Linked DNA regions of Tamandua tetradactyla. The protein of the gene in region 1 interacts with the protein of each later gene in a biochemical or structural test. Links are inferred from orthologs where the notes say so. Each region holds a gene or a part of one and is shown on either strand. Other genes may lie near its edges.

Region 1 (7,805 bases):
CATCTCAATTGAAATAATCTAACCAAAAGGTCCCACCCACAAGAGGTCTATACCCACAAGAATGGATAAAAAGTACATGGCCTTTTATGGGGTACCTAACAGCTCCAAACTGCCATAAAGGATATGTTGAAGTTCTCTGTATGGGTTTTGCCTTATTTTTGCAACTGTCCTGTAAAAGTTAAAACTATTTAAAAATGAAAAGTATAAAAAAATAATAAAGTTTAATATGCATACAAATTACCTGCAGGTCCTAATTTAGTAAATCTTGAGTAGGGCTTAAGATGCTGCATTTCTAACAAACTCCGAGATAATGTTGACATTGCTGATCTGAAGACCCACAGTTCGAGTAGTATGCTGGTTTGAAAGGATGTATGGCCCTAGAAAAGCCATGTTTTAATCCTATCCCATTTTGTAAAGGCAATCGTTTCTTCTAATTCCTATTCAGTACTGTATGTTTGAATCTGTAATTAGATCATCTCCCTGGAGATGTGACTCTATCAAGAGTGGTTGTTAAACTGGATTAGGTGGAGGCATGTCTTCACCCATTTGGTTGCGTCTTCATTAGTTTACTGGAATCCTATAAAAAAGAATGACAAGAGAGAAAGCCAGGAGATTCAGAGAGAGCAGAGAATCCTGCAGCACCACGAAGAAGAGAATCCACCAGTCAGTGCTTTTGAGATAAAGAAGGAAAATGCTTCTTGGGGAGCTTCATGAAACAGGAAGCCAGGAGAGAAAGCTAGCAGATGACACCGTGCTCGCCATGTGCCTTGCCAGCCAAGAGAGAAACCCTGACTGTGTTCGCCATGTGCCTTCTCACTTGAGAAAGAAACCCTTAACTTCATCGGCCTTCTTGAACCAAGGAATCTGTCCCTGGATGCCCTAGATTGGACATTTCTATAGACTTGTTTTATTTGGGACATTTTCTTGGCCTTAGAACTGTAAACTAGCAACTCATTAAACCCCCCTTTTTAAAAGCCATTATGTTTCTGGTATATTGCATTCTGGCAGCTAGCAAACTAGAACAAGTAGCAAGGCTTAAGAAATATGAAAGAAATAGAATTTACAGGAATTTGTGATCAGTTGGATGGCTGGGATTGGAGAGGCAAGAATACTGCATGGGTGTGGGATGGGGGAAAAGTAGAACGAATTATAAAAAGTCATGCCTAAATTTCCAACTTGATTGTTTGGGTGGAGGGGAATGGAAACCACAGACCCAGGGGGAGAAACAGGTTGGGTGGTGTGCTGGTTTGAAAGGATTTATGTATCTTAGAAAAATCATGTTTTAGTCCTAATCCTATTTTAGTGTAAAGGCAGCCTTTTCTTCTAATCCCTATTTAGTACTGTATGTTTGAAATTGTAATTACATTATTGCCACAGAGATGTGACTCAATCAAGTGTGGGTATTAAGCTTGATTAGACGGATACGTGTCTCTACCCATTCTACCTGGATCTTAATTAGTTTACTGGATTCCTATAAAAGAGGAAGCACTTTAGAAAAAGCTGGAGAATGATGAAAGAATGACATAGCCACAAGAAGCAGCAGCCAGCGACCTTTGGAGATGAAGAAGGAAAACGCCTCCTGGGGAGCTTCATGAAACAAGAGGGCTGGAGAGAAAGCCAGCAGATACTTCCATGTTCTCCCTGTGCCCTTCCACTTGAGAGAGAAACCCTGAACTTCATTGGCCTTCTTGAATCAAGGTAACTTTCACTGAATACCTTAGATCGGACATTGCTATAGATTTGCTTTAATTAGAACACCAGATTGAATCAGGATTAAAACATGACTTTTCTAATGTACATAAATCCTTTCAAATCTGCACAGCAGCTAAAGTTACCATCTATCAATCTTGTTCTGTTTTCCTTTGGCATTCATTATTTACTGCAGAGGAAGAAGCTGGGGGAAAAAATACACCCAACATTTTTTAGCTTTTTAATAAATAACTTTTTATTTTCCGCTGATGGGATACTGTTAGTGTTTGCTCTTTCCCCCCTGGGATTTAAGAATGCTTCCAGCTTGTATCTTGGAGCCTGTTTGTTAATTTTTCTGGATCTCAGTGAACCCACTTAATTTTCCACCCTGCACCTCAGATCTTTTCAGACTCAAGTTTTTTTTTTTCAATTATATTGTTGATCCTACCTTCTAATTGATTAGCTGTCCTCTTTTGGGGGACACCTCTAGTTTCCATCTCCATGCTGTTCTCCAGCTCCATTATCTTCTCTTTTAAAGAATTCCCCAATACTCCATTCTGTGTTCTTAAAGATTTTCTCAAGTTTTCCTTTGATGTGCTTTTCTGCATTGTTAAGTCTGCTTTTTGCTGCTTTGACCACTGCTTTTAATCAATAACTAAAGAGCTATTGTGGTTTTAATTTTATGGTACCCTCCCTTTTACCTTGGCTTGTTCTTTAAGATATATAATGTCTCTCTTCACCCTGGAGTAGGCAGGTAGAAAGTTGGAGTACATATGCAAGAGGGACATGCAAGAAAAGAGGGGTGAGATGTGAGGCAAGCTGCTTTATTGCTTAGTTGACTTACTTCCCTTCCTTCCTTAGTTCATTTACTTACTGCCCCTTCCTTTTTCAGGTTTTTTTCTTCGAATCCTCCCATCTCTTCAGGGCTGTGCCTGGTGGCTGATCTGGGGGGTTGGCCACCTCCAGGTGTTTTGCAGGCCAGGCCCTCCTGACCTTGGCAATGCCTTCTTTCAATCAAGAATAAGAATTAAGTGTTTTCTAAAACTGGGTCTGCATGATGGACTGAATGCATTTCAAAGGAGTAATTTTTGGCTCTGGCACTTCATTGCTTTTCTTGTGTGCCACACAGTTAGTTCCGCAGGGTTAAAAAAATTGCTTATTAGTTTTTAAAGTTGACTAGTCTAGTTGATCTTTGTTGATGTCTGATATGCAGCTGGTGGCTTTAAAGACCACATGGCTGGGCAATCCGGATGCAGCCCTTACACCCTTCCAGAGATGGTCTGGGAAGAGGTACAGGGGCACCGCCCGGTCTCACTGGCTTAGCTTTTCCTGGCACCCACCTGCCACAGGAGTCCAGTTTTTACTTTTCAACCTCTAGTGTTTATAACTATTTTTGAACCTCCGTGGAGCTGTCTCATTTTCTTTAAGTCTTGAAGCGTTGCTTTTAGTATGTCCCTCTTGACCTTTCTATTTCATTGTTTATGTCCAAGTCTCTGTCCAGCTGTACCATTCTGAGTCTTGCGTCTTTCTCTAGTGTCTTAAACCACTACTCTCTAACCCCTTATTCTGCTTTATATTTTATCATAGTACTTACCTTAATATGAGTATTGTGTATATTTATCTATATGCTTCCTCCCTCTAGAATATAATCTCTAGGAAGGTTTATACAAGAGATTACAGGTGAATATATATATGAATCTACAGATATAGAGAAGATATATATTACTTTATATATATATATAGTATATTTAATCACCATCATATATGCTTCCTCTAAAATGTAATCTCTAGGAATACATATACTATATATATAATATTTATATATAGGTAGAATATAGGGTATATATTCGAGTATAAGTATAGGTATAGATTTATCTATAGCTATATATCTTTTTTCTTTTGTATGTTGTATAGTGGGGGGTCACATTTCATTATTTTTCCATGTGAGTATCCATTATTGTAGCACCATTTGTTGAATTTTTGTTTGTTTTTTGGGAAGTGCATAGATCAAGAATCGAACCTGGGTCTCCTCCATGGCAGTGAGAATTCTACCACTGAGCTACCCTTGCACACCCTATAGTTAGAGAATATATAAGTGTGTATATATATCTATATATAGGTATATATTAGCATATATATAGGTATAGGCATATATCTATATAGAGAGAATGTATAGGTATGTATCTATAGATAGGTATATATTAGCATATATACATATACATATAAATCTATAAATCTAAAGATATATATACAGATAATATATGGGTGTGTATATATATATATATATGAGTGTATATGTAGGCATGTACATATTAGAGAAAGATATGTACCTATATATCTCTCTATATAGGTACATATATATTAGAGGTGTGTATATATATCCATGCATACACATATATATATATAAATTTATTTATTTTCTTCTCAGAGCCGACCCCCGGGAAGATGGCAGGTGCTGAACCCCTATTTGCTGAAGGGCCTGTCTGCTTAGCGCACCGTCTCGGAACCCCCGGTTTTGGTGTCAGCCCCTCAGTACGGAGAAGTGTCCCTCGGTCGCGCCCGTCCGTCGCCGTCCTTGTCCGCGCGCAGCCCACGGTCACCCTCCCGCTCCGAGGCCCGCTGCGCGCCCTCGGCTTCCCGGGGGCCGCCTCCCGGCGCCCGTGACCGCGCCCCCCGGGCAGCGCCCCAGCGGCCGCCGCAGTGCCCCGCCCCGAGCGCGCCGCTTCCGCCGGCCCGCGCACGCCCCGCCCCCGAGCCGCGGCCAGCCAATGGGCGCGCACGCCACCCCGCCCCGCCCTGGCGTCCTGCTAGGCGCGCGCCCCTCCCTCCGCCCGCCGGCCCGCCCGTCAGTCAGGGAGGGAGGCACAGAGGCGGTGGGGCCGAGCTGCAGTCAGCAACCCTCAGCGGCGTCTTTCCTCCTCCTCCTCCTCGTCCTCCTCCGCGGCCCACGGCGGTGGCCCGGCGGCGGCGCGTTTCCCACCCTTCCCCGGGAGCCGAGCGGCGGCCGCGGAGCGCCTCGAGCCCTGCGCGGCGGCGGCGGCCCGGCAGCCAACATGGCGGCGGCGGCGGCAGCGGGCGCGGGCCCCGAGATGGTCCGCGGGCAGGTGTTCGACGTGGGGCCGCGCTACACCAACCTCTCGTACATCGGCGAGGGGGCCTACGGCATGGTGTGGTGAGTGTCGACCCCACCCGCACGCCCGCCGGGCCTGGGGGGCGCCTCGATCTCCCGCGCCGCCGCGACCCCGACCCCGACCCCGGCGTGGGGGTGGGGCTGCGCTGGGGGTTGGGGCTTGCCCGCGGGGCTCCTCCCGGGCCGGGCAGCGCGCGTCGCGGCAGGGGGCGGGGGTCCGCGGACGGAACGGCAGCCCCCCTCCCCGTGTTGGCTGACCTCGGGGTCTTCATTTGGAAATCCATTTGGAAAAGCGGGAATCCCTTTAGAGGCGCGGCGGCGGCGGCGGCCTCTCTGGTGTGCAGAGCACCGAAATAGTCCCGTTTCCTACGCCGGCCTCCCCGCCTCGGTTTCCCCCGGAACGGCTCTCGTTCGGCTTCGTCGGTGGGGCGGGCGGTGCTACCCCGCGCAGGCTTTCCGAAAAGCACGAGGGACCCCCGGGTCGCTGGGGGAGTCTTTCCATGTTGGAGTTTTCGGATGTAACGTCGCGCTGTTTGCATTTTCAGGAAGGATCATCCAGCGGGGCTCCCATTGATTTATTAAAAGATCCGTTTGGAGTGGGTCCTAATTTGACTCCCCCCCCCCCCCTTTACCCTAAAGACTCTCTTTTAGCAGCACAAAAATGCCTCTGGACGTCTTGACAATTACTGTAGACTTTGTTCATGTTTTAGCGCTCAGTGCGGGCAGCCTTGGTGGAGTTCTTGCACCATCACAACATGCTCCCTTATCCCGACTCATGTTCCTCAGAAATGTGTGGAAGGAGAGGCTGACGGTGTGTGTGTGTGTGTGTGTGTGTGTGTGTATGTATGAGGACGAAGGGGCTGGTGAGGATTTGTGGAAGTGTAGATTTCCTTACACCTACATCTTCTGTGAGTATGTTTTCTCTGGAATGAAGGAAGCAAAGTAACATTGAAGAATTCTTAGCAGGTACTGTGCTAAGTCTGCATGATCTCATTTGGTTTGAACAACCAACTTCTTCTACATTGGGGCGAGGAAGGGTGGTGGTATATATACCTCCTGCAGGTGAGAAAGTGCTTGGACCTCAGATTCAGATCAAGGTCTGATTTTAAGTGCTGCAGCTCTTTCTGTTACATGCTGCTTTCCTTAAATAAGGGGTTCTTAATGATTTAAGAATGTTAGCGTGTCCCAGCAACGCATTCACATTTGAATGGACATAATTTTTAAAAAAGAGGGCGCGTTTATACTAACTTCGCTAGATGAACCAACCAGGTAAAATTATTTTTTAAAAAATTTTAATGAATCTTGAATACTGTCTTTCTCTGTAGGGGCAAAATGCTCCACAGTATACAACTGTGAAAATTAACATGCATTCACAGGTTTAGGAGCTAAAAGAGAAAATAGATCAGACCTAAAAGAGATAGGACCCTAAGAAAATAATGGACAGAAAGCATTGACTGCAGCATCACTTCTGTTGGTGCCACTGCATCTGCTGGTAAGTATGTCAATGAGCGTTTCTCTTTAGGTGAATCTCAGAATTGTCCTTCCTGTTCTTTGGTCCTTCTTTTGAAAATTAAGTTTTCTAAAATGAGAACTGAAAAAATCCTAAGACATTTCTATTGAAATTTTTTTTGTTTTTTATCTGATGAGATTTTTTACTTAGAGAAGATGATCTCTATTTATTAACCATTTCTATCACTGCTGTAGACTTCTTTGATTTTCTGAGTTTCCTGGTGAAATACTTAAAGTTTTCTTCCTGTGATTTTTTCCTTACTAAGTAAAATCCAAGCAGAAATGAATTGGATCCAGAGGCCTTTTTGTCTTAGGTTGATATTGTATTCTAATAAGAACTTAATCTTCTACAGAATGGGGTTTGAGTTGGGCCTTTAAGAATGTGTATGACTTTGATAGGGAGATAAAAGGAGCAAGTGACAGCTTGAGCTGTAGAATCTAGTCCTGGAAAAGTACTAAGGAGGCTAATTGTAGAGAACTCTTAAGGCAAAGCTGAGTTTCACTGTGTGTTTGCGTAATGGGGGGGGGTCATCGCCATTTTGTAGGAGGCTGTCATTTCATCAATTTTTATTTTTAAGATAGATAAACGCCCTTAAGAAGTGAAAGAAGAAGGAACTGGAATGGAGGGAATTAGTTGGGCTATTGTAACCTAGAGGCATAGTAATACGGTAGCAGTGGAAGGCATTGAGCAGAGGTTAGTTAGCTTGCCAAAGGGCAGATGGAAGTGTGAGGCCTGCAGAGATAGGATCAATAACTAGGGCTCTCATCATAGGAGTGGCAGAAAGAATTAATGGTGGCATGTAGGGGTAGGAACAAAAAAATGATGAGGCCACCATAAGGGGTAAGAGAGGTAGGTTCTGGATTTGAGAGGGGTTTCTGAGATAGATAGAGCTAGGGCTTGGTGATGGATTGTGTGGGCAGTTGTTAATTTCAGGGCTTCTAGCTTGTGAACTTGGAAGGATGGTGGTTCCATTATCTGAGGGAAGGAATATGGGAGGCAGAGCAAATTTAACTGGAAGAAATAGGGGGTTCTGGTGTGGACCGATGAAGTTTATAGTGCCCATGGGCCATTCAGGCTGTATCCAGATGGTATCTTGGAATTTATAAGAGGGAAGTTGGCGCTGAAAACAGAAATTCGTGTAAATGGTAGTTGAAGATTTTTCATGTGTTTGTTTTCTTAAGTTTTCAAAACTTAAAAATTATCCACCAAGCAACAACTCTCCCTCCCCCCCCCATTTCGTAATCCACTGTCTATAAGTTTTGCTATTTCTGGATATTTTGTGTAAGTGAAATCATAAGGTAGTTGCCCTCATTCATGTGCTTTGCTTTCACTCAGCATAATCTTTTCAAGGTTCATCCATGTTGTGGCGTGTCTCAGAACTTCATTCCTTTTTATGACCAAATAGTAGTTCATTGTGTGTATGTACCATATTTTGTTTATCTATTCATCTGTTTAATGATACTTGGGGTGCACTTT
Region 2 (6,944 bases), about 60 Mb from region 1:
ACCGCTGCCCATCTCTGCTCCAGAGCAGTTCCTTTAATAATAATAATAATAAAAGAAATACCTACTATGGGCCTAGGAGAAATATGTTCATGATCTTCATCCTCACAATGAAATTAGGACCAATTTGCCCATATTTCAACCGAGAAACAAATTTTCAGAAAAGTTAAATGACTGGCCTAAGGTCACACAGTTAATAAGTAGTAGAGTTGGGATTTAAGCCCAGTTTCCTCTAACACCATTAGATTGTGATATGCTCTTCATGTCAGTCCATACTCCCTTCCCATCTCAAACCCATCTCAAGCCAACAAATATGTATGGAGCATCAGCTAAAGGCCAGGTGCAGCTAGGAGCTTCCAGTTTTCATCCCCTGACCCTAAAACCCTGGCTCCATCTCTCCATCCCTGCTTCGCTTTCTCAGAAGTTCCTACCTCCAAATATCTGTGTCCCTTTCCCTGCTCACTCTCCCTCTAGCACTTCTCACTACCTCTGTTCTCCATTCCAGACCCATGGTCAGCAAGGTGCGGTGACAGGAGGGACTAGCTCTTATGAATGTGCCTGATGTGGCTGAAGGCTAGGGCTGCCCCCATCAGTGGCTTCTCAGTCATTCCTGATTCAAAGGCAAATCACCCTGAGCAGAGCTGAGCCCCCCCCCCCAGCCTCCTCTACCAGGAGGAAACATGAAGGACTCTAAAGGGACACTGCTATATAAGCAGACACCTCTGCGGGGGTGGGTAGTTTGGGCTCCTCAAAGGAGATGGATTCAAATCCATTTGCTTATTTAAGAATATTTCTTAAGGCCCCTACTAGGACCAGGCAAAGGACTGGAGATGGACAGTGATACAATGGGGAATGGGCAAATGTGGTCCAGTATACTCAGGGAGACCTTATTCCAGTACAGGAGAGGAAAAACAACAAAAGTTAAACAGATACATAAAACTATTCCTCATTGTGGCAAATACCGTGGAGAAAAGAGGAGAAAGGTTAGCGGGGGGGTCAAGAGAAGAGGTCAAGTGAGGAACTGAAAGAACATGGCGATTGTGACGGCTGAGTTCATGTGTCAGCTTGGCTAGTTTATGGTGTCCAGTTGATCCGGTCGGTTCTGTTTCCCTGGAGAAATAATACAGTGATCTTCAGGAAGATGGGAAGGAAATCAGGGGGAGCCAGGAGAGATGGAAAATGGAAGGGGCTAGGGGCCTGTTTCTCTAGGATTAGGGCAGTGGGAACCAGTTCAGGTACTGGTCCCAGCCCCTGGCACTTTCTGGCCTTAACTCATCTCCTACCCCTTCATTAGCTTAATGATTCACTCTCAACCTTTCCTTAGCTTCCTGTGTGGGAGGGAGGGGGGTGGGGCAGATCCCCAGGTCTCTGAGGGTGGCAGAAATGGGGATCAGATAGGTTGGGAAGGAATAGTGGGCAACCTAGTTCTTTGGGTATTTGTCTTTGTCTCATTCTGGTCTTGCCACAAAGAAAGGTCTCTCTGTGCCAGAAGCACGAGGAAAACTAGAACCAGCTGGAATCTGTAATCGCCCAGATTCCAGATGTGGGAGATAATGGCCAAATGAAATCCTGACATCCCCCTCTTCATTTCCCCTTTCCCTCCCCTGCCTAATGCCCTGGAGAAATTTTCCATCATAAACAAGTTATGCATTCCTGTCCTGGGTGCCTCCCCCTCTTTTCCACCAAGCAGTTTTCTTCCATCTTCACTATTTGTGCCCCAACCCCCACTCCACTGCCAGCAGCTTGTGTCTGTGAACACGTGGGTCCATCCACATGTGTAAGTCACCGTGTAAGTAGACACGTAAGTAGCCAACCCATGTTGGTCACTGTGTTGTGTGCATGTGTGTGAGTTGCTTTGGAATCAGGATGTAGGCGGGTGTGCAGCTAGCTGTGCTCTCAGTGTACATGTAAGGATGATGGCATATTTTGGTAATTGAATGGTGGCAGTAGCACAACATTGCAAGTGTAATTAACACCACTAAATTGTATCCTCTAAAGTGATTAAAATAGGAAAGGTTTTATCATGTATCTATTACCATGATAAAAATTAAAAAGAAAAAAGTATGATGGCATGTGTGAAAGGCACATGTGAGAAAGTTATGTGTCTTTGTTCGTGGAGGAGGGTATAACGTGGGTGGTGTCCTGTGTGTTTAGACAGGAGTGGCGGGTGTAAACTGAAGTGACATATAGGCCTAAGAAGCAAGAAACAGTAATAACAGATCCATTTCAAGCCTAATCATGGGGCTTTCCCTTTATTTGCATCCCCACACATCCTTGGTTGGAAAATGCCCGTCCGTGTTTTTAGTTTGGTGTCTGCCTAAGAATTGTCTCAGCTTTCTTCAAGACGTTGTCAATTTGTATGTGGGGTTTAGAGGCATGTACCCATGTTTCAAAAGCTTTTATAGTTGTGCATTTTTAGTTCTAGCACTTACAGTTCTGCATTTTCATCTTTCATTTAACAAGATTATTGAGCAACTACTATAACGCAAGGGTTTAATGGCGTGTGCAACCACACGCCTCTAGAAGAGATCTGACATATCATCATCTTACACTCGAGGCATGATATGATGGTATAAAGGCCTAAGCCCATGTACTTCAAATCCCAGAGTCATCTTTGATCCCTTTATCCTCTTGCTGCCAGCACCCCCCATACTCCCTGCCCCTTATGATATCTATCCAATTGCGAAATCCTGGTGATCTTATGCTAGAAATGTCTCTTAGAAGCCATGCCTTCTCTTGCTTCCCTCAACCAAGGACTTCAGGTCTTTGGTGCCTTCTACCTGAACCACTCCAATAGCCTCCAGGCTCCCACCTCAGGCTCTCCCCTACCAAGGACATCTCCTCATCTCAGTCAGCCCCCAGGGGAAGCTGCCCTCCTTTTACTATCATCCTCCAGCCCACAAGCTTCACTGTCTAAAGTCAAACTCAGCCTCCTGGCCTGGCAGCTAAGCTCTCCCAACTCTGCCCCACAGCTTTCCAGCCATTATTTCTTCCCACTACCCCTTTACGGGAAACTTACTTTGAGATTGTTTTTCTTGCAAATTCCCAAACACACCCTGTATTTTTCCAGCTCAAGGCCTTTGCTGACTCTATTTTCTTTCTCAGCAATTCATCCTACACATTTGTATTTGTGATACCCCACCCACTATTCAAGGTCCTCTCAAATGCAACTCTTCTCTGAAGACCCCTTGATCGATTAGAAAGAATGTGAACAGTAACTGGGGTGGGGGTGGGGGGCTTAGTCTTAAGTTTTCTTAGACCTTAGTTTTTAAGTTTAACACTTAGTCTTAAGTTTTCTTAGGACCCTTGAGAGATTGTGCCTGGTCACAGTCCCCTCCCCAGGCTGAAAGGTAAGACCCTCAAGGCTGAGGTGACAGTTTTGTCTAGCCCACCCCACTCAGCAGCACATACATGGATAACTGACCTCTGTACTCTCCACAGTACATTTAACAGGATACCTGGCACAGGTAGATACTCAGAAGGTGTCAAATTCTGTGTCCAATGAGCAACTGTGTCAAAACAGTTATGAAAATAAATGGAATCACTACCATTGCTACCATATTTGTATAATGCCTCACAGTTTAAAAAGTTCTTCACATGAATTCTGTTGTTTGATCTATACATGGGGCAAATCCATGTGACCAATGACCTCTTAGTCTTTTATTTTGTGGTTCCTCTGTAACAGTCTTTGTGTGAACATTTCTACTCACACCTAAGTGGGTAGCTGTGCCAAGTTGTCTCTTGTGCCATCTCTGCCTCTTTGCTGTGTGTGCATGTTGTGTGTATGTGAATATGTATGAATGCATTTTCATGTGTGCCAAGGCAGGCAACGGCTGTGCCTGCATGTGCTAGTGTGTTCACTTCTCTTGGTCTCCTTGACTGTTTCTGCAGTGCCTTTCCTTTTTGGGGTGTGTGTTTTCTTTACTTTTTTAACTTTTTTATTGTATAATATAACATATATATAAAGCAAAGAACGGAAAAAGCAATCGTTTTCAAAGCACTCTTCAACAAATAGTTACAGGACAAAGAGCCCAGATTTTGTCATGGGCTGCCATACCATCATTTCAGACTTTTCCCTCTAGCTGCTCCAGAACATTGGAGGCCAGAAGGAATATACATATTTTTTTATCATCTTTTTTCCTTTTTTTTTGTCAAAAATAACATATATACAAAGAAGCAATATATTTCAAAGCACAGCACAACAACTAGTTGTAGAACAGATTTCAGAGTTTGGTATGGGTTACAATTCCACAATTTTTGGTTTTTACGTCTAGCTGCTCTAAGATACTGGAGACTAAAAGAAGTATCAATATAACAATTCAGCACTCATACTCATTTGTTAAACCCTACCTTTTCTGTATAACTCCATCATCAACTTTGATCTTTCTCCCATTCTTTAGGGGTATTTGAGCTATGCCCATTCTAGCTTTTTCACACTGGGAGAGGCTGTCAATAATAGGGGATAGGGGGATGGAACTAGTTGATGTTCTGGAAGGGCTGGGTTCTCTGCATTTCAAGACTTATCAGGTCCAGGGACCCATCTGGAGGTTGTAGGCTATGGCTATTCTAACTTTGTTCATGTGGGAAGGGCTGTCAATAATAAAGGGTAGGGAGATGGAACTAGCTGATGTTTTGGAAAGGCTGGCCCGTCTAGGTTGGGGTGTGTGTTTTCTGTGTGTACCTACAAGCGTGTGAGTGTGCACGGGTATCTTTCACGCTTTAAAAGCCGGACTTTCTCCTGTAAGCCCTCCTGCCTAACCTTCCTGATGGAGCCTAAACCGGGCGTGCCTGAACCATCACCCAAGCAGGTCTTTGGGTCCATCTTTCAGGTGCTACAAGTCCCAACATGTGCACGCCGTCCCGCCCCACCCCCACTCACAGCTCACACACCTCTGTGCCTTGGATTGTACTGGTGAAGTCCCCACCCCACACCCCCACACCCCCATTTGTTTAATCGTCGGAATTTCCAGATGGCTCCTGACAAGCCGCTCCCCCGCTGCGAGAGGAGGAGTTGAGGAAGGCCCGCCCAGTTTCTCCCGCGGACTTAACTACCTCTGCCCCGCCGCGGTCCCTCACTTCGCCTTCTGCTCGCTTGGCTCGCCATGTGTCGCTCCCGCAGCACCTTTCCTACCATGACCGTCGTGCGGGCCCCGACTCCCGTCGCCACCACCAGCCCGGGACCCAGGAGGGGCTCCGGTCCCGAAATCTTTACCTTCGACCCGCTGCCGGAGCCCGCAGAGGCCCCTGCCTCGCGCCCCAGCGCCTCTCGCGGGCACCGCAAGCGCAGCCGCAGGGTTCTTTACCCTCGCGTGGTGAGTGTCGCCGAAGTGGGCAGCCGTCGTGGGGGAACAGCCATACGCCCGGGAGCCCCCTGCCCTGACCTGTCCCCTTTCTTCTCTCCCCCCAGGTTCGACGCCAGCTGCCAGTCGAGGACTCGAACCCTGCCAAAAGGCTCCTCTTCCTCCTACTCGCTATCATCTTCTGTCAGATCCTGATGGCTGAAGAGGGGGTGCCGGCGACCGTGGCACCCGAGGACGTACCCAGCCCTGTGTCCCCCGCGCCCACTCCTGCGCCCCTCGTCTTCGAGTCTCTTAATGTGACCTCGGAGCCCTCGGACTACGCTCTGGACCTCAGCACTTTTCTCCAGCAACACCCGGCCGCCTTCTAGCCGTGGACACGCTCCCCTTCCTCCCCTCAAAAACGAAACTGAAAATCCAGAGAAACGCCAAGTGTACCTGGTGCGCGAGGGCATATCCCAAACTGGGACTCGCGTGGTAAATCAAACTCAGAACACTAAAACCGAGGTGCCGGCGGATGCCTGGGGCGGGATTTCGGCACTGACACGCTTAGGTTAGGCCTGTGGGGAAGAAGACCGTCGTTAATTTATTTTTCATTGCTCCTAATTAATATTTATATGTATTTATGTACGTCCCTTTAGGTGATGGAGGGGTGTACGTAATATTTATTTTAACTTATGCAAGAGTAGAGATGTGCCCCCCCAGTGCAGATGCAGATCGCTAGGTATTTATGGAGCATTGCGGGATGGGTGGAGGGAGGGCACCTGGGACTCGGGAAGGGGAGTAGAGAGACCGGGTCCGGGAAGGCTTCCGGGCTGGGAGTCTAGGCTGGTGGTGGGTCTTAGGTTTAGGGGCTGACACTCTCCGTCTTCCAACATCTCAACTCCGTGGGGCCTACTGTGTGAGGCCCTGGCGGACCGTTTGGGGTAAGGTCCGTGGCCTTCGATCTCCCCGCAGTCGCCCCCAAGGGGTTGGCTGCGGGGTCCGGGGTCGGTGGGCTGTCAGGGGGCCGCTGCCGGGGTCGCCGTGTATGTTCTGTGAACACAAATAAACTTGATTTACTGTCAGCAGTCTTTGGCGTTTGTCTTTGCGAGCGGCAACTCCCCATTCCCTCCTAGCCTTTAGGCGCTAAGGCCCCGCCGGAGGGACTAGCGGCCAAAAGTCCCAGGCGGCGCTCCGCCCCCTCCTCCCGCCCCAGCATCCGGTCGCCGGATGCAGTAGTCGGTTGCCCAGGCTGCGGTTTTCCCAGTTAGCGCGGGACTAATCCGAGATGAGGCAACCCCCCCTTCTCCCCACAGGGGTGCCGGACGCTGCTACCCATGGAGGTCATGTCCCGAGTCCCGGGGAGGAGCCCGGGCTGGTCTTCCGGCTCGGGAAGGGAGGCGGTGTACTGCGGGGACGCTGGGAGGCCACCCGGGGCTCGCAGGGCAGCCCAAGCCGTGCGCACACCGCGGACTCGAGCGGAGCCTGCCGGGAAAGGGGCGGGCCGAGGTGGGGTTGGTCCCGGCTGCGTGGGGCGGGATCGCTTCTGCCGCAGCAGCAGGGTGCGGCCGCCTGGGGGGCGCAGGCCCAGCTTGTGGCCAGACCAGCGCGCTCACCTACCCTGCGTGGCTCTCCTGCGCCCCCGCGCGCCCCCGTCCCTCCCAGGAT

The links. The genes of interacting proteins can lie anywhere in the genome.
Region 2: of the proteins of MAPK1 (region 1) and IER3, one has a biochemical effect on the other in vitro, tested with the Homo sapiens proteins (2 studies listed by BioGRID and IntAct). The link is inferred for Tamandua tetradactyla from reciprocal best matches to the Homo sapiens genes MAPK1 and IER3.

The regions. Positions count from the first base shown.
Region 1 is NC_135331.1:26,070,441-26,078,245, forward strand, and holds the start of MAPK1 (mitogen-activated protein kinase 1), read left to right. Parts: upstream 1-4,736; 5' UTR 4,737-4,742; coding exon 4,743-4,861; intron 4,862-7,805. UniProt on the Homo sapiens protein: Serine/threonine kinase which acts as an essential component of the MAP kinase signal transduction pathway. MAPK1/ERK2 and MAPK3/ERK1 are the 2 MAPKs which play an important role in the MAPK/ERK cascade.
Region 2 is NC_135331.1:85,621,250-85,628,193, reverse strand, and holds IER3 (radiation-inducible immediate-early gene IEX-1), read left to right. Parts: upstream 1-4,980; 5' UTR 4,981-5,099; coding exon 5,100-5,309; intron 5,310-5,404; coding exon 5,405-5,665; 3' UTR 5,666-6,361; downstream 6,362-6,944. UniProt on the Homo sapiens protein: May play a role in the ERK signaling pathway by inhibiting the dephosphorylation of ERK by phosphatase PP2A-PPP2R5C holoenzyme. Also acts as an ERK downstream effector mediating survival.